Linked DNA regions of Astyanax mexicanus. The protein of the gene in region 1 purifies or fractionates together with the protein of each later gene. This does not show direct contact. Links are inferred from orthologs where the notes say so. Each region holds a gene or a part of one and is shown in the gene's direction. Other genes may lie near its edges.

Evidence for each region.
Region 2: the proteins of copb2 (region 1) and cope purify together in Homo sapiens (affinity purification with mass spectrometry; 4 studies listed by BioGRID and IntAct, with this or other methods). This does not show direct contact. The link is inferred for Astyanax mexicanus from reciprocal best matches to the Homo sapiens genes COPB2 and COPE.
Region 3: the proteins of copb2 (region 1) and copz1 fractionate together in Homo sapiens (co-fractionation; 6 studies listed by BioGRID and IntAct, with this or other methods). This does not show direct contact. The link is inferred for Astyanax mexicanus from reciprocal best matches to the Homo sapiens genes COPB2 and COPZ1.

The regions. Positions count from the first base shown.
Region 1 is NC_064415.1:52,356,277-52,363,520, reverse strand, and holds the start of copb2 (coatomer subunit beta'), read left to right. Parts: upstream 1-4,182; 5' UTR 4,183-4,334; coding exon 4,335-4,337; intron 4,338-6,296; coding exon 6,297-6,434; intron 6,435-6,605; coding exon 6,606-6,692; intron 6,693-6,845; coding exon 6,846-6,972; intron 6,973-7,244. Other genes in the region: rbp2b (retinol-binding protein 2b), read left to right, coding at 1,983-2,084, 2,577-2,630. UniProt on the Homo sapiens protein: The coatomer is a cytosolic protein complex that binds to dilysine motifs and reversibly associates with Golgi non-clathrin-coated vesicles, which further mediate biosynthetic protein transport from the ER, via the Golgi up to the trans Golgi network.
Region 2 is NC_064415.1:56,240,496-56,248,525, reverse strand, and holds the start of cope (coatomer subunit epsilon), read left to right. Parts: upstream 1-4,919; 5' UTR 4,920-4,959; coding exon 4,960-5,061; intron 5,062-5,516; coding exon 5,517-5,579; intron 5,580-6,744; coding exon 6,745-6,845; intron 6,846-6,962; coding exon 6,963-7,115; intron 7,116-7,200; coding exon 7,201-7,254; intron 7,255-7,954; coding exon 7,955-8,030. Other genes in the region: slc25a24l (solute carrier family 25 member 24, like), read left to right, coding at 737-848, 1,059-1,217, 1,637-1,774, 2,118-2,225, 2,860-3,027, 3,246-3,384, 3,692-3,876. UniProt on the Homo sapiens protein: The coatomer is a cytosolic protein complex that binds to dilysine motifs and reversibly associates with Golgi non-clathrin-coated vesicles, which further mediate biosynthetic protein transport from the ER, via the Golgi up to the trans Golgi network.
Region 3 is NC_064420.1:853,282-861,030, reverse strand, and holds the start of copz1 (coatomer subunit zeta-1), read left to right. Parts: upstream 1-4,638; 5' UTR 4,639-4,727; coding exon 4,728-4,745; intron 4,746-5,708; coding exon 5,709-5,777; intron 5,778-6,863; coding exon 6,864-6,945; intron 6,946-7,043; coding exon 7,044-7,135; intron 7,136-7,239; coding exon 7,240-7,295; intron 7,296-7,749. UniProt on the Homo sapiens protein: The coatomer is a cytosolic protein complex that binds to dilysine motifs and reversibly associates with Golgi non-clathrin-coated vesicles, which further mediate biosynthetic protein transport from the ER, via the Golgi up to the trans Golgi network.

The DNA.
Region 1 (7,244 bases):
TTGCTTGACCTGCACTTACCCACCCTCTCGGCCTTGGCTCCCATCCCAGCACTGTCTTCGGCTCTGGTGATGGAAATCGTGTAAAAAAAGTAAATAGAGGATATTCATCAAGACTCACTCACCGAGACAAAAGTACACTAGGCAGTGATTTATAAGACTCATTTTCAAAGCACTGGATGGGCCAAAAGCGAATAGATTAAACACTCATTTCAAGAATTCACCACATACCGTTTAAATGACATTTAGTCCCAGGGAATTTGGTTTGATCTGATAAAATACTGCTCTAAAATGATGATCTGGCTTCTCTAAGGCCAGATATTGTAAAATTCCCTTGGAATAGCACTTAAAATGTTCTGCATTGTAGCTTAATACTAAAGTCATCCAAACTATGAAGAAAAACATATGGAATTATTTAGTAAACCAAAAAGAAAGGGTCAAACAAACCACAATATGTTTCATATTTTAGATTAATTTTTGCTTAGATAACAGCTTTGCACATCTTGTCTGGATTTTCTCAGTCAGCTTTATGAGGTAGAGTCACCTGTAATTCAAGCTTTCAGTTAACAGCTGTGCTGAACTTGTCAAGAGTTAATTACTTTAATTTCTTGTCCTCTTAATGTGTTTGAGAGCATCAGTTGTAAAGTTGTGAAGAGGTAGAGTTACAGGTATACAGTGAATAGCTCTATTTAGGCTATGTTCTAATTAATATTATGGCAAGATCTACTCAACTAAGTAAAGAAAAAATACTTGAAGAAATGAAGGTTAGTCACGGAACATCAAAAACGAACATCAAAACCAGCCTTAGAAACCACAAGTTAACAGCTCCCCAGATATGAGACACCTAAATGCTTGACAGTTTGTTTAACACTTTTGAGTAATTACATGATAAATTATGTGTTCCTTCTTACTCTAGATGACTTCAGCATTTTCTTAAAGCTCTGTTTTTCCTGTTCACACAACACTAAAAAAAAAGTTTTAAAATCTCCACCAAGCTTAGTTTTCCATCAAAAACAGCATCTTCATGTGGTTGGGAGGCCAAACTGCAGAAATAATTAAGAAACTCAAGAAGTACATGTGGACATGGCTTTAAATACCTCCTCATGTTGTACCTTTAAACTCATTCACACTATTTCTACACTGCGTCTAAGCAAGCATAATAAGCTAGATAACTAGATTTGTGTCAGTCCTGTTACTGTCTGTCCGCCTGCCACAGACTCTGGTTCTCTCAATAAAGACTCCATTTCCCAGGATACACCTGTGTCGTCATCCTTCTAGTTAGTTCACGTGTCTTTCCCCAGTATAAATAGCCCTTGTTTTTCCTATTCTAATCTATTCCCATAGGTAACTTCACATTTCTTTTGTGCATGACTGTATGTTACCAACCCTTTTTGTATCTCTGACCATCCTTTTTCGCAAAGCCTTTTGTTGTTTAGTTAGCCTACTCGTTGCCTACCTGTTTTGTTTATTTGACCACCCTTTTGCCTTGCCCTTTTAATTATATACTGGATTTCCTGTGTATGATCTCCTTGTCTACTCACTCTGGTATGCTGTTTGTTTACACTGTCCTTTGGTTACTGATCCTGCCTGTCCCTGATTATTCTTATAAGTGCAACCTCTTATTTAATAAATTGTGTGTTTGGTATCACTTACGGATAAAAGTCAATATTGTTACAAATATATAATGAATTTCTTTAATCCATGATTTGGAGTCACATTCAGACACATATACAGTCAGAATCTCTTTATAGTTGGGGGCAGGACAACAGAGAGACAAACTTACATATTGGATTATTAAAGAAAGGCCAAGAACTGATTGAACCATTGCTATGCCTATCCATGCCCACAGTCTCATTGTGTTTGACTGTACAGATCAGACTTCACCGGAGCCAAAGCCTCTGTGTTTGAGGAGACGTAGCTCAGTGTGAATGAGAGAGGGCAGGAACAGGCCACGGCACTGTTGACTGACGAGCTTGTCTTTACAGACTCTGATCACCTGGGAGGGCGAGGAATTGGTGTGTATACAAAAGGGTGAGAAGGCCAACCGTGGATGGAAGCACTGGCTAGAGGGAGATAAACTGCACTTGGTGAGCCTCCAATTGCTTTGTTTTACAGGGTAACATTTAATTGCACATTTAAATCGTTCAAATCAACTAACCAAGCACTGACTATATATAGTAAAGTAATACTGGATAGGACCTGCCTTCACATTGAAAACAGCTTTAGTATTTTGTAGCACGAATTCCATAAGATGTTGAAGGCATTGCATTGAGATTCGGGTCCATGGTCACATGACTGAATCATGCAATTGTATTTAATGCAGCGAATCTCATGTTCTTCCAAATCACAAAAATGTTTTACTGGATTCAGATCCACAGAATAGAAAAGGCCTCTAAAAACACTCATTCAGTACATTTTAGTATTCCAGATATTTTTGGTAGAAATGAGATGATCAAAGACGAAAAAAATAACCATTCATACTGTTATCAGGGAAAAAAAAAGTTGTATATTACATATTATGTTATTTTGCATTCTCACACTAACATACTACATTTCCTTTTTATCATTTATGATCGCAGGAGCTGTACTGTGAAGATGTTGTTTGTCATCAAGTGTTCAAGAAACAGGGTTAGTGTTCACTCTCTGTGCTCACTAAAAAAATGATAAATGTAAAATAACTGTATTGGCAATTTATATCAATAAAGAAACCACAAAATAAAAACACAAATGGATTTGTATGTGTGTTTTACATGTATTTTTCAACAAGACAATAACTAAGACTAACTTGTCATTAGTTATTAATTGCTTGAATTTCTTACCTCTTAATGTGTTTGAGAGCATCAGTTGTAAAGTTGTGAAGAGGTAGAGTTGGTATACAGTAAATAGCCCTATTTGAGTAACGTTCTAATCCATATTATAGCAAGAACAATTCAACTATTCAAGTAAAGAAAATAAATTGACTTTGCTTTGAATAAAGGTCAGTTAATCTAAAAAAAATTAAAACTTTGAAAGTATCCTTAAATGCAGTCGAAAAACCATCAAACATGTTATGATGAAACTGGCTCTCATCAGGACTGCCCCAGTCAAAAGTTTGGACACACATTCATTTTCATAATTCATTTTCTACATTGTAGATTAATATTAAAGACATCAAAGCAATTAAGGGACACATATAGAATTACGTAGTAAACAGCAAAAGAAGTGTTTGTCCTCCACAATCCCCTGATGTAAACCTGATCAACCGAGATGGGTGACCTCCAGGAACTCCTTCAAGATGCTGAGAAAACTATTCCAGAAGACTCTACCTCATAAAGTCACTGAGATTAAAATACCAAAAGAAGTTAAATGTGGCTACTTAGAAGAATCTAAAGTGAAGTATTAAACATATTTAGGTTTGTTTAAGACTTTATGTTTACTATACAATTTCACATGCATTCCTGTATAGCTTTGATGAAGTTTATTATCCCTTTCAGACCTGGATTATCCACAGTGATGGAAAAAAAAATGTAAGAATGCTGTTTTTTGTCTGTAGAGCACAGAAAAGAAGACTACTCTACTAATTTTCTACTAAATTTAACAGCAAATAAATAAAATTAACTACAATATATATATATTTTTTTTACATTGTATTGAAAGACTGTGTGTAGTATTGTATATCTCATATTGACCTTTTTTATTTCATAAATCATCCCTAAATAATTAAAAAAGCATAAGTAAAAAAGTGATTAAATAAGTAAAATGAGCTGTTTCTTTGCCTCAATGGGTCTAGTAGTATTTTTTCCTGTTTCATTGGTTTATAAATGTTTTAATTGGCTGGCTCATGATCTATTCTGATGAACAACAGCTCTCAAATATTTTGAACAATTTAACATTTTGACAGACAGACAGACAGACAGATAGATAGATGCTTTATTGATCCCAGATGGAAATACTCCACACTCAGTAGCAGGTATACATAGTACACAGACGTTTCAAAACAGAAAGTAGAGTCTTATAGAAAGTAGAGTCTTTTAGTTGGTATGTAATGGAGGTAGTGTGGTTAAATTATGCCCACTGTAATGGATACAGGGTCTGAAAGGGTTAAATTCATCCTTTACCATTCAGAGTTGTGCAGGACTGTAGTTTCTGCTCTGGATCTCCTCAGTCCTCCATGTGTCGCGTCATCGGCTCCCACCACACGTTTGAGGAAGTTCCACGTCAGATGAGAGTGTGTGTATCTTACTGTGTGTGTGTGTGAGGGAGTGTGTGTGTCCAGCTGGAGCTTTAGTGAGCTGCGGATACAGCAGCAGCAGCAGATCTGCGATTAGAAAGAGCGAAAACCCACTAAAAGCAGCAGAATGGTGAGTACAGCAGCTCCGCTCCGGTTAAGTTATACACAGCGCGTTGATGCAGTCTGTCAGAGCGCAGATCTCCCGCAGCTGAGTTTAGCTTTAGGTTTAGTTAGCGATGCTAAGCTAGCGGAGCTAAAGGCCACATACACAGACTGAGCAACGTAGCGTAAACGCTAGCCAAGTTAGCTAAGATAGTTAGCTGACCATGTATTCAGTCTGTGAACGAAATAATGCTATAATTTGGGCGTTTTCCTTTTTAAAAACGTACTAATAACAACTTCAAAGGCTTCAATTTGTAACCTAACTGTCTTTTCGGCTGTGAACCTGGTTAAACAACGAATTTGAAGCTAGTTAGCTTCAATGCTAATTCCAATATTTATCCCATTGAACGCAAGCTAGCTGGCTGCCCGGCTAACTAGCATTAGCTCGCTAGCTATCTCTCACAGTTAGCTTTAATAATTAGCTAGCGTTAGCTCTCTGAGTCCAGATGTTGAAGTTTTGTGATGTTGAGACGATTAACTATAAATATGAAGTTATTTAGTGAGCTAATTAAACTGCAGGTTGCCGTGATATTAAATATTGAGCTGCAGAGTTAGCTTAGCTTGCTAAAGTCAAAGCTAACCCGACTAAACTAGCTTAAGAGAAGCTGAGAGAGTTGACATTAATGACGTGGTGGTTTGCTAAGCTAGCTAACATCTAAACTATTTAAACTAACTATTAACTTAATGTTTTAACGTTGTATTTGTAAAAACGTATAGTTTGCAAACTATATACAGCTCTGGAAAAAATTGAAACCACTTAAGTTGCCGAATTAGTTTCTCTGATTTTTCTATTTATAGTTATATGTTTAAGTGAAATTAACATTGTTGTTTTATTCTATAAATATAAGTTACTGTCATTTAGAGCATTTTGCAGAAAATAAGATATGGCTGAAATAACAAAAACGATGCAGAAAAAACAGGTTCATATTCATAAAGTTTTAGAAGTTCAGAAATCAAAATCTGGCGAAATTACCCTGTTTTTTTAATCACAGTTTTTATGCATCTTGGCATGTTCTCCTCCACCAGTTTTACACACTGCTTTTTAATGCCACTCCTGGTGCAAATATTCAATCAGTTCAGCTTGGTTTGTTGGCTTGTGATTATCCGTCTTCCTCTTGAGGTTTTCAATTTGGTAAAATCAAAGAAACTCACCATTATAAAGAGGTCTCTCATTTTTTCCCAGAGCTGCATGTAAGCAGGTTATATTTAACTAAACTAGTTAACCTTTCTTAAGTGTTCATTTTTTCCATGTTTTAACATTTCGCCATAGGGTAATAACACAATAATAACGTAGAGAGAGGCTATATTTCATTACATGTATCAATACATGTATCCTATTCTATACTGCTCCTATCGAAATACATGTTTCTGTCATATCCACAGTAAGCATATTGAGGTTATCACCAGTACTTAAAGAACACTGACCCAACAGCTTTTTCATGCAGAGTATAGTGATTCTTATTTAATTTGTGCTGAACATTATTCCATTAAACATGATTTATTACACGTTGTAATGAAAAGTACAGTTGGGTCGGTGTTCTTTAAGTACAGGTAATAACCTTAAAATGTGTATTGTTGATATGGTAAAAAAAAAAAGGTGTCATGATACGATAAGCTATCAATATGTTGTCCATCTCTAACAGTGGTTATATGTGCCTAGCTATGGAGGTGTTGGCAGTCTGATCATATTGGTATTGCACTGGTCACAAATAATCCATGATAGAGCTGGACAATATGTTGTTAGTTTATCATATTGTGAGACCTTTTCTTATGATATCGTTTGTAAGCATTTTGGGGTATAAGAACACTTCATGTCATATGTGTTTAGAAAAGCATATTGTTTATAATGGTAAAAACTGTCCTCTTTATTCTTTCATTCTTAATATATTTGTGTTAACAACTGGGTGAACAATTTTCCCCCTTGTAGCCTCTGAGGCTGGACATCAAGCGCAAGCTCACGGCTCGGTCCGACCGTGTCAAGAGCGTGGACCTTCATCCCACGGAGCCATGGATGCTGGCCAGTCTGTACAACGGCAGCGTCTGCGTCTGGAACCATGAAACACAAGTAAGTGTCGAACCTCTTTGTGTAGACAGTTTATTTACAAACTGCAAACTGTAAAGATTCTGCTTTATGTTATTCAAGTCTGACCTCAGTCTGACCAAGTCTGATTTCAGTAGTTTAGAGAAAAAAATATTGAACTGTTTTAATATAAAGTTTTCTCTGATTGTTTTGTAGACCTTGGTGAAGACGTTTGAAGTGTGCGACCTGCCAGTACGAGCCTCAAAGTTTGTGGCCAGGAAAAACTGGGTTATCACTGGAGCAGTAAGTAGTAGCTGTGTTTAGTTGTGATAATAATATGTTCATTAAATACATGCATATATCATCTATTGCTTATGAATCAATATTCATTATATCAGGCATGATGTTTTCTTGGACCTGGTGTGAATTGCTTTTTTTCTGCCCTCTGTCTTTTAGGATGATATGCAGATTCGGGTTTTCAACTACAACACACTAGAACGGGTCCATATGTTCGAGGCTCATTCGGATTATATCCGCTGCATTGCTGTGCACCCCACCCAGCCCTACATCCTTACTAGTAGTGGTATGTACAGGTTTACTTTCACATGTTCTATATGTACAGAGATTTTAATGATGGCATCAGTCTACACAGATTTAGACCAGTTTTGACTGATTGATGATTTTGTCAGAGCTGATTCATTTTTTTTGGCATATCCTACAACATTTTTCTTGATATTGACCAATCAGAGGATGAAGTGCTGTTACATATGTAAAAATAAGGAAGAAAAAGAGAGAAAGAAACTATTGCTACCGTTTTCCTTACTAGTATGTTTTACTTTTCCATTTCCAAGTACA
Region 2 (8,030 bases), about 3.9 Mb from region 1:
CCCCCTGATTTAATAATCGTGATGATCATGGTCTTTTCAGAGGGAATAGACCTACTGGGAATGAAACATTTTCCCACTGATATTTACTGAAGGAGGAGGAAGGAGGAAAAGCCTTATTTGCTTTAACAGAAAGGCCAGGATCATCACTGCATGCTTTATACCCACTAACTTTAGATACTGATACTCTGTATCTAAGCTGCGCTGTTTGGCTTGTAAGCGCTGCATTATTGCTAGGATACCTGTATGTGGCGGAGTCATACATGGAGTGCTTCGGTTACAGTGCATTACTGGCTGATAATGATAACTCACAGAACATCTCTCAGCCAATCACATTGCAGGGTCGGAACTAACTGTGGTAAAATATAAAGTAAAAGATATTTATATGTATATATACAGCTCTGGACAAAATAAGAGACCATTTCATTTGAAAACAATGAGTTTCTTTGATTTTACCAAGTTGAAAACCTCTTGAATTTTTTTTGCACCAGGAGTTAAGGCATAAAGTTATCCAAAATCAGTGTGTAAGACTGGTGGAGGAGAACATGCCAAGATGCATGAAATTTGCCTTTTTTTCTTTTTTACAATTGCTAATTAACATTTTAATTGGCTACATATACTTTATATATCATCATCATGTACATCATATGATCATATTGCTGTCTGTACTGCTGGGATTGGGTATAAACAGAGATGGTTCTCTGTTAACTCTGTTAATTCTTTTTCTGTTCATTATTAGGATGGATGAGGACAGCTCCATGACTGTGGATTGGGGGGAATTCCTGCAACATGTGATCATCAACCCAGCAGAAAATATCAGAGAGCTTATATCCTCATGGAAGCACACACTGGTAAAGAGCACACTTATTACTGCCTGGACTTGTAATCCAATAAAAAAGAACCCTGTCATACTATAGCATATATATGATAAATAAAATTTGTAATGCATAAAACAGTTCTACTTAAGATTTACTTATCAGTTAATTTAGTATAAATTTACTATTACTATTTAATTACAGAATTCCTAAATCATCACCTTTCCTTGCTGCTTCCATCTGCAGGTGTTTGACGTTGGTGAGAGTCGATCCATGCCTATAGAGCTCACTCAGGCGGAGACGGATCTGTCCGAGTGGAGGAACTTCATCCTGGCTGCAGGTCTGTCTGACGCTGTTTCCAGAACTGTGACGGCTCCCATTGACCGATTAAAGACTCAGCTACAGGTATTTCAGCTCAAACAAGCTGAGATGTTTACAATAAAGTAAAAAAAAGTTTCCTCTATCTATATTTATCATGCATTCTTTATTCCGGCACCCCACGTTGTTTTTTTTAATCTCCCCTCAAACATAGAAATATACACCAGTATTTTAATTGAGACCACTAAAACTAAATATAATTGCATTTTACATGTTTTACATTCATTCTTTTATTTACATTTAAATATCCACTGTAAAACTTGCCCCTTAAGAAGAACAAATGCGATTAATCACAGCTAATCACAGAATATTGTTGTGATTAATCTGATTACATTTTCTAGTTGATTGACAGATTTTTTAAATCTTTTTTTATAATATTTAAACTGTGGACAACTTTGTTCAGCTTTTATAGATGTTTTATAGATGTTCCTTCCCTTGTTTTCTAGGTTTATGGCTCCAAGGCTGTGTCTTTGGGTTTGCAAGATCTGAGAACTGGAGGCTTGAGGTCCATGTGGCAGGGAAATGCTGTTAATGTGCTTAAAGGAACACCACAGTCCACACTGCAGTGTTTCCTGTATACCCAGGTGTATAAATATAACCTTGTTTCACATGTTCCATCTTTTTATACTGAGTTAAAATCACTCTCTAGTTATTAAAATATACCTATCAATCTATACACTGTCAGACTGTAGAAACTACTGGAAATCAACACTGTAATATATTATCTCTGCAAAAGTGTCTAATAGGTAATAGATAATTATTATTGTCAAACACGCATAAAACTCATTTTTGAATTGAATCACTTAATGATCTACACTTTAAGCTGCAGATTCATACTGGAATAAAATCACAGGTCTTGTTTATAATCACATTAATTAGAGCAGTTCCCAATCAAATCCTACAAACTGCTTTCTGTCTGTTTCCCAGATGAGGAAGCAGACCCTGGGCGAGAGAGATCACCTGTCTGTGGAGCAGCGTTTCGGACTGGGCTGTGTGTCTGGAGCTGTAGCACACGCAGCATTTTACCCCCTAGAGGTATCACAGATACATCACAGGTCTGAGCACTCCCAGGAAGCTTTCTCCTTTCTGTGCAAATGATATAAAACACATTATAACCACCATCTTTACTGAAATGTTTTATCGTTGTTTGACCAAGATTGAGGCAAAATGTGCTGCGTCTCGTCTCTTTCTCAGAGTTCAGACAGATTGTGGCTACAAATATAACCATATAAAACTCAGTTCAGTTAAAAATAAAATTAAGATGAGTAAAGACATGTGAAGTTAATTAATTATTAGCAAATAGTTTGAGGTTTTGGTGTGTGAAACTAATGTCAGTTAGTCGTTAGCTCTATCCGTTCTAGTGTTAAAGACAGTGAACAGCTGGTGTGCATGGATACTGCTGAACATGTTCCAGTCTGGTTGTATACTACTGTCAGTAAATAGTGGGAGGAGCCCCCTTAAGGTGGATTCTGAAAAAAGTGTTGTTGTTCTTTCCTGTATTGACCATCACAGAATTTAAACGGCCTCTTACACAGTTCACAACTAGTTTTTGTCTGGGGGCCAGCAGAAGTCTTTGCTCATTTGAGTTAAAAGGTAGGTTTGGTTCTACTAGAAACAAAAAGTCATTAAGACCAGTAACTGGACTGTGTTTTCTGCTTCTCAATCGCAGGTTCTGAAGGTGAGGCTGAATCTGCAGCAGGCCGGTAACTACAGCGGACTCCTGGGATGTGCAAAGTCCATTTACAGCAACGAGTCTGTGACAGCTTTCTACAGAGGTTTCAGACCAAGTCTGCTCTGCATGATCCCATATGCTGGAGTGGAGTGTGCTGTTCATCAGGTAAATCAAACCAGGGGCCATATTCATAATAATATATGATCATACGTTATGCTAAGGCCTATACTGATAGCCTCAATGTGTTCACAGGGTTAATTTGTGCCTTTATTAATATATACTCTTACCATCTGCTGCCCCTACTGTACATGAACATGCTTAAACATACTTAACTACAACAGTTATAAGAAAAATAGCTCATACCTCATCGTTTGTCCTAACAGTCGATAATGAGCTGGGCCAGACGAAACCCTGCCAACCGCAGTGACATCAAACTGCTGTTCTTCAGCTTTGTGGCGTTCGCGTGTGGACAGGCCAGCAGCTACCCTCTGGCCGTCATTAGAACCCAGCATCAAGCGCAAGGTGAGGGGTATAAAACAGTGGGGCTTTTTATAATTACTGATACTGTGCTGCCGAACAAACCAGAAAAAACATTTTACCCTACTAAATTTTTTGTATGCCTAATTATTGCCTTATTAATCATTACGAAATAATATATTATATAATCATTTTTGTAAAATAAGTGATGTAATGCAGCTCTTATGAAATACAGTATGCTTCTTATTAATTACTGAATTATTACATCAGTTATTATATATAATAATATATAATATTTTAGACTATTTTATTGTCAATATAACTGTTATATTGTTACATGTCTCTCTTCCAGCTTTTACATCAAACTGCCAGAATTCCTCACATATATTTCATGGACTGGTTGGGATCTATGAGAAGAACGGGCTGAGAGGTTTCTACAGTGGGATGGGGGCTAGTTTTGTGCGGGCCGTCCCGTGTGCTCTGCTAAATTACACCCTCATCTCTAAACTGGAAGAACTGCTTTCCACACATCTATGATGAGCAATAAAATCCCTGTATAGACAAACACCTGATGTGTCTTTAGCCTGTGTTTGTGGGTCTGTGTGCTTTCAAGAGTTGTTCAGCTGAACAGAACTGATTTTTTAAACTTTTACTTTTTGCACAATTAAACAACAGGAGTGTTCATGAGAAATGGTAAGCTTATACTTACCGGTTCTGTGGTTGTAGCCCCGCCTACTGTGGGAAAAAGTGGGAAATGAATCAATGAATAGTAAATCACCAGCAGATAGCGCTAATCTTTCTTTGTATTTCCCTTTTATGTTGACACTTAAAGCGCCACTCACTCTACAAACTAAATCACAAACTGTTACTTTGCTATTGATTTTTCCATTTTGTGTTTTTATTTTAATTGTCAGACATGCAGCCTATTGCAAGGAAAAATAAATAAAAATGTTACCAGTGCATTTAGATTTTAGTTTTGCCATTTATTATGCAGTTCATCAAGAAAAGGAAAGGCCAAAGTGAAGCTTTTATTTTTCACAATAAGCTTGTAAATTAAAATTAAAAAGGCAAAATTTAATTAATAAAAGTAATTTTTATTTTATTTTTGTATTTTATTTTTTTTTCTAATATTTTCACACATGTTTGGAAAAAAAGAAAGCGCAAAACAGTATTTGCGTTTTAATTTGAGTATTTTTACTTCAGTCTTATTTTTAGCAGGATTTGCCTTCCATAACAGTTTAAGTGCACTATTATTATATATTTAAATACACTATTTATCAGAAGGGCCTGGATGAGAAAGAATCTAGTTGCAGTCTTGCAAGATTACCAGTTTTTGTAAAATCTTAGTCTGTGACTAAAATGTCTGTGACTTGTCTTTAGATGTGAAAGAGTGTCAGATTTTAGTCTATTAAAGTCTTTTTAGAGTCTTTTTAAATTCCTCTAGTGTTTGTAGTTAGCTTTAGTGTTTCTAATAAAATGAATGGATGAGTGCGAGTGAGATTGACAGACTCGTCAGCCAATGAGAAATAAGACCGTCGCTCGTCGCCCCGCCCACTCTTCCTGCAGCCGACCTGGATGATGTGGCCGCTGAAGTGACGTGTACTGGTGTTCAGAAGCATCATGGCGGCGCAGCAGGGAGAAGTGGACGAGTTATTCGACGTGAAAAACGCCTTTTATATCGGCAGCTATCAGCACTGTATTAATGAAGCTCAGAAAGTGAAGGTATGAGGAGATTCTACAGCGCTTTTACTGGGTTTACAGGGGAGCAGGGCTTCAGTTAGAGGCGGGTTTAGGGAGGCTGTCAGCCGGCTAACTGCTGTTAGCTTAGCTTAGCATAGAAAACAACACCAGTCAGCTGCTGCTGCTTTACTGTATATATTTATATATACTTTATGTATACTTTACCATATATATTTTACAGGGAACGTTATAAATGTTTCAGATATTTGAGCTGTAAATGGCCATATGGACTGTCTGTTAGCTGTTTCTAATGTTACCTTTTGAGAAGTGTTGTTTATACAGGAATTTATACTTTTGTGCTCATTGTACTCATTATTTTACAAAACTAACTTATTACTTGACCCACATCTGTTAGTGTAATTTACTCCACAGTTAGATTCTCAGGCCTCGATTCTCTGTTTATGCCCCACTGTAATGCTCATATATCGATTTTACAGGCTTCAGGACCAGACAAGGAGTTGGAGAAGGACATTTTCCTCTACAGGGCGTACATAGCACAGGTAGGTTATGTTAGTTACACGCCATGCAGCTCCACTTTTTTCTTGTCTATTGCTTTTTTTTTTATTATTTGCATCATATAGCCCAATATGTGCACCAGTAAGACCTGTCCCTGGTGAAAATAAATTAACTGCTCAGTAGGGATTGGTGTTATATTTTTTTTAAAGACTATACTACAGCAGCAAAATAAATATTAAATTGTATTAAGTTAGACCCTTAATTGATATAAAATAAAAATATTGTAAAATAATAAATAACATAAATAAACAACAAAAATATTTAACAAAATTAGTGCAGCATAAATATTTGTTGCATTAAAGGCAAGCAAACAAAAAAATAAAAGTGTGCGATACATATGACATACTCCTACTGTCCAGCTGAACTGGTTTGCTTTTGTGTGTTTTGTGTGTGATGGTTGAGCTGGTTTACCAGAAAGGCTGGCTTCACCTTGCTGGTTGTTAGCATACCTGTTGATTGACCAGTATGATAAGCTCGTTCAATTGGGTTATGCTCCATTAGACCCAATAAAAATATAAGGTATGCTTTAGTAGGCTAATCTAAACTAGTCCCTCAGTTGGTCTCACATCATATCCACTGTGAATTTTCCTCATGCCTTATTTACTTCAAAATAAACACAGTAAAACAGAGTTAGTGTTAAAGTAACAATGTGGGTGTTAAAATGTAAATTTTGTTAATTTACTACAGACAAATTTGCTTTGCAAGTGTGACTAACAAAGCCTTGAAAGTCTACCTTGACCAGCTAATCCATAAAATAAAAACATACACCATGCTGGTCAATAGCTAAGCTAGTCAACTAGCTAGTTTAATAGTATGACTGTCCTGATGAGGCTAATCATCCTGTACAGCCAAACTGGCAGACCAATATGTCTAATGAACAGACTAGTTAGCTTGGATGGTCATGCTGATGGTCCAGCTCAACCTCTTGACCTCAACTGGTCGGCGCATTTGACCAGACACACAAAAAAAAAAGACTCAAATGTATGTCATGCTGGTCAGGAGCTAAACTGTGCAACCAGATCACATTTGGAACATTTGCATGTATTTATACAGGTCGACCAACACTTCAACCACCATGACCAGTGAAAACCAGCGTAGACCATCTAAAACCAGAATATTTAAAGTGATATTTGTTGTTTTTTCCTGCAGAGAAAGTATGGAGTGGTGCTGGATGACATAAAGCAGAGTTCCTCTGAGGATCTGAAAGCTGTCCGTATGTTTGCAGACTATCTGTCTAATGAGGGCAAAAGGTCAGCACCCAGAATGTGATTTACTGAAACCCATCATAATGAATGTACATGTTAATCCCTTATTATTTATGCTTTATATTAAAACACACTTTTTCTTTGTAATAAAACTGTGTGCAGGGATTCAATCGTGGCTGAGCTGGATAAGAAGATGAGTCAAAGTGTGGACGTCTCAAACACCACCTTCCTGCTGATGGCCGCCTCCATCTACCTGCACGAGATGAACACAGACGCTGCCCTGCGAACACTTCACCAGGGAGAGAGCCTCGAGTGGTCAGTGCGGTGAAGAATCCAACATTTGATTCAGCTTTGTCTTGTTTTATTTATTTATTTAGATTTTTTTGTTTCTTTGTTTTAGCATGGCGATGACCGTCCAGGTACTTCTGAAGCTGGACAGAGTTGACATGGCAAGGTATGCTGTGATGTTTTCTTTGTGTGGTGTGTGAAAGAATGTTGGGCTGTGCAATATGGATGTGATTCATAATTAAGTTTGTTTAAAACAAATTTACATATTAATTATATGTTAAGTATCAGCTTCTGTTATTTGGCACATTGACTGTAATGAAGTAAAGCATAAGTTATATTCAGCTCCCTGACTGTAGGGGGAGCCCAGGGATAAAAATGACATATTCTTGTATAATACTGATTTAAGCAATTACAAAAATACAATATTAGGAAAAACAGGCATCTTGTTCAACACGTGAGCCAGGTTTCAACCAATCCTGCACTGTGGGTGGGACAAAGAGGCTTGTAATTAGCTGTATTTGACAAGTCATGCTTATTTTGACCAATCCTGTAAGGATATAGAATAAACATTTAACCACAAGAGTAAAAATGTTTTCATTTATATATATATATATGTCTTTTTTTATTGAAATGCCATTAAAGATTATTATTACAGATACTACATTTTGTTGTTCTTCACAAATGGTGTAAAATGGGTTTCTTATTCATTATATTGTACATCTGTTTGGGAACTCTTTACATAATGACAACACCAGTGCAATTAAGCCCAGTGTTTTTATCCCTGAATTTGATTTAGTGGTTTTTAGTGGGCAGAAGTGAAAGTTCACACCTGCTGTTGCTCATGTGTTGATTTGTTAACTGTGTAGGAAAGAGCTAAAGAAGATGCAGGAACAGGATGAAGATGCTACACTAACTCAGCTGGCCACTGCCTGGGTCAACCTT
Region 3 (7,749 bases), on another chromosome or scaffold:
AAGTTGCACTACAGTGTGGACAATTTTACCAAAAAAAGGCCTTTTCATGAAATCATGGTTTACTTAGTTACTAAGTTACAGATACTTTAAATTGTTCAGGGTGAGCTTGTTCTGTTTTAAATATGAGAAATATGAGGTGAATTTAATATGATTAATAGCTGAACATGCAGAAAGTGTCTTTATTCCCTAGAAAAATATATATATATTATTTTTTTAAATGGAAATAGCTAATTTAAATTATTATATTTTAAATATTTAATTTTTTTTAAAGGATAACATAGTATTCCTCTATATGTGTATTAATACTAATTCAGAGTACATCCTAATACTTACTGCTACGGCTTAAAAATGATGAGTTTCTTTGATTTTACCAAATTAAAAACCTCTGGAATATAATCAAGAGGAAGATGGATGATCACAAACCATCAAACCACCAAACTGAACTGCTTGAATTTTTACACCAGGAGTAAAGCAGCATAAAGTTATCCAAAAGCAGTGTGTAAGACTGGTGGAGGAGGAGAACATGATGCCAAGATGCATAAAAAAATGTGATTAAAAACCAGGATTATTCCACCAAATATTGATTTCTCTTTCTTTGGAATTTGGGAGACATGTTGTCTGTAGTTTATAGAATAAAACAACAATGTTCATTTTACTCAAACATAAACCTATAAATAGCAAAATCAGAGAAACTGATTCAGAAACTGAAGTGCTCTCTTCATTTTTTCCAGAGCTGTATATTATTTTATATTGATATTAACCTCACTATTAAAAATATAAATGCATGTGCACTCTTGACAGTGATGCTGCGACGTGTATCAGAAAGATAGTTTATCGCTTCATCAGGCACATCCAGCTCGTATTGTGTCCTCTACAGCACTAAAGGATGATTTCGAAATGCACTTCGCGGTAACCTTGTGAAAACCCAGAGCTGGATTGTGAAACGCGCTGGTGAGCCGCTCTGCTGCTGCCAGAGGCTTTAGAACAATCTCCACAGACTTCTCCTAAAACCCTACTAACACAATTAAAACTGTGTACAGGGTGGAAATGCTGTATTCTCTCACTCTCACTTCTAAAATAATACCTTCCTGCAGGAAGTTTCAGGAGTTCTTCTATTTAAAACTGTGGAGGAACTCCTTAACCCTTTCAGACCCTGTATTTACTTTATTTTACAATTTTAACTCCTTTATTCCACAGCTACTTATTAATGCTGTTTAATTTAGGGTGTAAGTCGATGGATATAACATCAATGTTCTGTATATATTTTGTTTGTTTGTACTGCTACAGAGGCACACTGCTCAGCCCAGTCAGATCTCCCTCCTGCCCCGCCCCTAAACCCATACATCACCCACTGCCTCTTCCAAATAACCCATACACACATACTTGAGCATTTTTATGAATGGTGGATAAGGGTATCCACACAAGATGATCTCTCAGGTTCTAAAGCTTAGAAAAGATAAAAAAAAAAGTAATTTTTTGTGTGGTATAGTTTACATTTTATAATGTTTTATAGATACTCTAGTTAGCTATATAGTTTCAGGGGAAGGTCAGAAAATATGCAAATATAAAGTTTGAAGATCTAGAAAAAATAGTTTACAGTATTTATTTTTCAGTAAGAAACTTATTTTCCTTCCTCCAGACTCCCTTGATTTACTTTAAATGAAATGTAAAATTTACTGATGATCAGTGATGGTTTGTTTGGAGAGTCATGTCTGTCATCTGCTGGTGTTGATCCACTGTGTTTTATTATCAAGTCTAAAGTCAGTGCAGTTTTGTTTTCCCACAAAATCTTACAGCACTTCATATCTTACAGCTTCCCTCTGCTGATAACAACTTTTATGAAGGTGTGGATTTCATTTTCCAGCAGGACTTGGCACACTGCCCACACTGCCAAACAAAAGTACCAATTGGTCTTATTATATTGATTGACACTGATTTTGGGTTTTTTTATTGGCTGTAAGCTTCATAATCATCATAATCATCAATAATAAAATAAATAAATTATTAAAATAGATCACTCTGTTTAATACATGTATATAATATATGAGTTTCACATTTTCAACTGAATTACTGAAATAAAGCAACTTTTCAAAGATATTCTAATTTTTTTAGATGGTCCTGTACATACCCAGGTAACTCCTCTAAAGTTTAACACTGTTTATTTTGCTGTGCATGTTTGTAACTGTGAATAAATGAAAAACAATCCCTAAAATAAAGTTAACATGTTAAATACACAACTCTACAGTCTGGTTTTCCTGATATGGTATAAATGACCCTCTGCAGGCCTGGGAGCAGATCTTGGACGCCGTGTTTGAAACCAAAAGGGCTGAGAGCAGGAGCTGAGAGGACTCTGATGTCAGTGTGTGTGCAGGAGGAGTGAGCAGGGAAAATCCCCTCGGAGCTCGGGTTTTCACAGTGGTGCTTCCCAGAAGAAGTGACCAGACCCGTGCCATGAGGACGATGACGGCCGCCTGTAGGAGGATCTGTTAAATTAAAGCAGACGTATCATAAGCTGTTTACTGTTTTACAGAAGACTCGTGTCATTGAGGCCTGTGCCTCATAAAACTAACCTCAAATCACTGGATTACGACCCAAATTAAAACCAAATTAGATCAGACACTCATGGTGGTGCTATTTAAAGAGATCGGCCCACAAAAGCACTCGGAAGTACATTAAATAAGATTGTGGAGATATTGTTTTAAATAACAATTCAAAAATAGTTTTACATTTTTTAAACTTCAAATACAATACAGCCATGTTGAGTAATTCATCGCAGTAAAATACTGTAAATATATACATTAAGTTAAACCCTTGTGAAAAAATTGTGTATTTAAATATAATAATAGTGTCCTTAAACTACAGATCAGAACTACAGAAAAAACACCAATTCAGTTTCTGAATCAGTTTCTCTGATTTTACTATTTATAGGTTTATATTTGAGTAAAATGAACATTGTTGTTTTATTCTATAAACTACAGACAACATTTCTCCCAAATTCCAAATAAAAATATTCTTATTTAGAGCATTTATTTACAGAAAATGAAAATTCAGAAATCAATATTTGGTGGAATAACCCTGGTTGGTTTTTAATCACAGTTTTTTTTTTTTTTCATGCATCTCAGCATCATGTTCTCCTCCACCAGTCTTACACACTGCTTTTGGATAACTTTATGCTGCTTTACTCCTGGTGTAAAAATTCAAGCAGTTCAGTTTGGTGGTTTGATGGTTTGTGATCATCCATCTTCCTCTTGATTATATTCCAGAGGTTTTCAATTTGGTAAAATCATAGAAAATCATCATTTTTAAGTGCTTTCTTATTTTTTCCAGAGCTGTATGTGTACATGGTGAATATGGTGAAGAAGAGAATAGGCAGTATATGGATGAGCTGTAATTGACAGGGGAAGGTCAGATACTGGTTGGCTCCTCTACAGACCTCAGTGCATGACAACGCCTGTGCAGAAACATTCCAGTAAATACTGAGGGTACTGTAGGCAAGGAAGTGGGCCTATTTTTGTGATAGAATGGCCTATTGGTTTTGAATTCAGCATGACAAAATGGAAAGTTTCAATAAAGGCAAGACAGGCTGGAATCCAGGCTCAGTTATACACAGCGGCACAGGAAGGTCAGGAGTGCACTGAACACAGTAACGTTCAGACTAGAACTCTGGGATTTATTTAATGAAGATTTAAATAGGTAAATAAACTAAAGAAAATGTATGCAAATGTGTAACTTTACCCTTGTAAATAAATTAAGTATCCTTAAGAGCATTAAATGTATGTTCAGATTAGGCTCTGCATTTTCTATTTAATATACCTTCTCTGTATTTCCATAAAATGCATTTTTTAAGCAATATGCTTTAAATTAAATGTTGTGTTGAAAAAAAAATGTTTAGTGGCATTAATTACTGTGCACTATAGTTTATAGTTTTTTTTTTCAAGTTGTATAAAGTGTATTTACAATATACATTAAGTGTATTGAACATGATGTTTAAAAAAACACAAGCTATAAATCTACTTAAGTTCACAGAAGTTATACAAAAAAGCACTCAAAAGCACAACCTAATGCTTTTATGTTGTATTTAAATATATTTTAATTGCAATTGAAATATATTTAAGTTGCCATAAGTTGTTCCAAAATAGTACATTTAGTGTGTATTTAAATACATATTAATATATATATATATATATATATATATATATATATATATATATATATATATATATATATATGTATATATATATATTTTTTTTCTTTTACAAGGGTAACCACATTAAGGATGATCAAACCAAACCAAATAATAGCCTTTAATATTATGACATTAATCTCATAATATTAAGATTTTATTCTCTTAATATTACAACTTTAATCTCATAATATTACAAGTTCATTCTCGTAATACTATAATTTTAATCTTGTAATATTACTACTTTTATCTAGTAATGCTACGATTTTAACCTTACCGCAATATTACTACTTTATTCTCGTAATATAATGACTTTAATCTCGTAATATTTTACAGATTTATGTTTGTAGTACTTTAATCTCGTAATATTACAAACTTATTATGACTTTAATCTTGAAGTGTACTGTTTTCATACGCCATCGTATTAGGGATATTTTGGACGGACCTGTATTTTGAAGTGAAACGCAAGGTCACTTCCGGTTCAGTCACAGCCGGAAGTGGACAGCACTGGGATCGGCAGGAGCTCCGCTGATTAACCGCGAGGATGGAGCCGCTAATACTGGTATAATTATTACAATACTGTATTTATTAATATTATCTGAGCTGTATTATCTCTTACTGTGAGAACTGGAGCTTCAGCAATCGCTGCTGTGGAGTTTAATATTAATAATAACAGTGTTTTACTACAACAGCAGCAGCAGAGCTAACTAACTAGCTTTTACTGATTATCCTCTAAAAAACACCCAAAATAACTTTATAAAAGTATTATTCTCTCTTTCTTAACCTTCACTGATAATCCTCTAATTCTAAAACCCCAAAACTTAGTTTTTACACTTATTATTCTCTCTTTCTGAAGCTTTACTGAGAGGAAAGCTTTATTTTCTTAAATGCACACACATTTTTTTTTTTTTAAAGCTGTTTTGAGGCAGACATGCTAACATTAGTTAGCTTAGCTAGTTTAAAGCCGTTTGCATCCATATCTAGTTAATTATCTATGTGTGCTTATATTACTAAAAATCTGTAATTAGTATTTTTAGCTTGGAAGTTAGGGTAAATATAATGAGTGTATAAAACTTATGCTCCTTATTGACTTTTATATAAGTTGAATACATGGACTGGGTATTAAATAATTAAATAAAAAAACTAACTTTTTATTTAAAGTGAGGAAAACATTGTTTTCTATGAGATTTGCTCTTTAAAATTCATAATAAAGAAAATTTGTTGACTGTGACAGTATTGCCATTTTACTTTCTTAAATCTGGATTTAATTTTCACAATTTTGCAGATAGAATCTTTAATCTGTAATGCATAAACGCTAATTATTTTCTATGCGTTTTCTATCAATTATTCTTACTTTTCTAAAATATTGTTTCATGTTTCACTTTAATTTTATTTAACATTCCTGCTGCCTAATTCTCAGCACAACCTTTGCCTGTTAATACGTTGGTGTACGCGAGTGTAGATTAGATTAACTCATAAATCTGTTTACTGATTAACTCGCGTGATTCATGTGCTGCTGTTTCAGGAGCCCTCTCTGTACACCGTAAAAGCAGTTCTTATCATGGACAATGATGGAGAAAGACTCTATGCTAAGGTAAGATAAATAATAATAGTAATAATACTCCAGTCCTCACTCCTTTCTGATTGTATTTATTTTTTTTTTGGCTCGGGACCGCCCACAGGCAGCATGCAGTTCATTCCTGTGTTGTTTGTGCGAATAACACATCAGTGTTTTATATACTTTACCCAGTAATTCAGAGCTAAGAAACAAATGGTTAGAATTAGTCTATGGAGGAAAAAACACCACCAGCCAAGTACAATTGAGAGGTGTTTAGAACAGTTCTGTTTACACTAGTTAAAAGTAAAATTCCCTGATGGATTTTTACTTTCCGGACCTGGACTCTGTTATCCACCTCTGTGTGTAAGTAACTATAGGTTTAAATAGGATCTCCGGTGGATTTGGTGTTTTACAGAGACTAAGACTAGGTCAGTGGCTGAACTGCACTTAGCAGGGCATTATTACACATGTTTTAAAGTAACATGTGACATTGTAAAGACGTTTCTAACTGTTGTCCGATGCACTTTGCCAATCAGAGGTGATGTTTGCATGTATGAATATTCATAAGCAAGGGCTGTAATCCTATCGTTCTTTTCCCGCCCACTCTTCCACCGGACTAAAGCAGTGTTATACCGGATCACCGGAGCACTTTTTTTTTTTTTCCACAAAAAATAGCTCACATGGTATTCATTCATACTAGAGACACAAGAAATGAAATAACGATGTAATGAGACCTTTTAACTAATTTGGAGATTTTTTTTAAGGTAATCACTTAATTGTTTGCACTGGATTTTATCATTTTATTTTATATGGGATAAAGGGATAAACATGATTTCAGATTTTTATTTGATTAAAATTGTGAAGTAATTTTTAGTCCACTTTACAATTATGTGCTACTTGTTGTGTTGCTCTTTCACTTAAAATCTCAATAAAATAGCTTACTTTATTTATTTTGTATGGTTTGTTGTTGTTGGGTAACAAAATGTGAATACATTCAAGGGTATACACACTTTAGAAATTCAAGAAACTGTAAATCTGAGTAACAGAGCTGTTTTAAAGGATTGTGATGGTTTTATCTGTACGTTTTATTTATAACGTCTCTCTGATTAACCTCTGTTTCAGTATTATGACGACACCTACCCCACAGTTAAAGAACAAAAGGCCTTTGAGAAGAACATCTTCAACAAGACGCACAGAACAGACAGTAAGACAGTTTTTTTACGTTTATTTACTACACGGTTTATTTGTTCTGAAGTTTTCACAGTTTTATAATTATCTTGATTTGATTTTTCTCTTTAACAGGTGAAATCGCTCTGCTTGAAGGCCTTACTGTTGTTTATAAGAGCAACATAGATCTGTACTTCTATGTAATCGGGAGCTCACATGAGAACGAGGTAACAGCTCAAACCTGATTCTTTTAGCTTAAACTTATTCTTATTTATTTGTCTAATAAACACATCAATCAGTTTATTAATTTGTATTAAATTTTTCCATACAGCTGATGCTCATGTCAGTGCTGAACTGCCTGTTTGACTCCTTGAGTCAGATGTTGAGGTATGAAATAATTCTCTGTGATATACAGCTCTGGGAAAAAAAAAAAAATTTTCACTTAAAAATGATGAGTTTCTTTGATTTTACCAAATTAAAAACCTCTGGAATATAATCAAGAGGAAGATGGATGATCACAAACCATCAAACCACCAAACTGAACTGCTTGAATTTTTACACCAGGAGTAAAGCAGCATAAAGTTATCCAAAAGCAGTGTGTAAGACTGGTGGAGGAGAACATGATGCCAAGATGCATGAAATTAAAACTGTGATTAAAAACCAACCAGGATTATTCCACCAAATATTAATTTCTGAACTTTTATTTAAAACTTTATGAATATGATTTTATTTTTTTGCATTATTACCATATTTGTGTAAATAAATGCTCTAAATGAGAATATTTTTATTTGTAATTTGGGAGAAATGTTGTCTGTAGTTTATAGAATAAACAACAATGTTC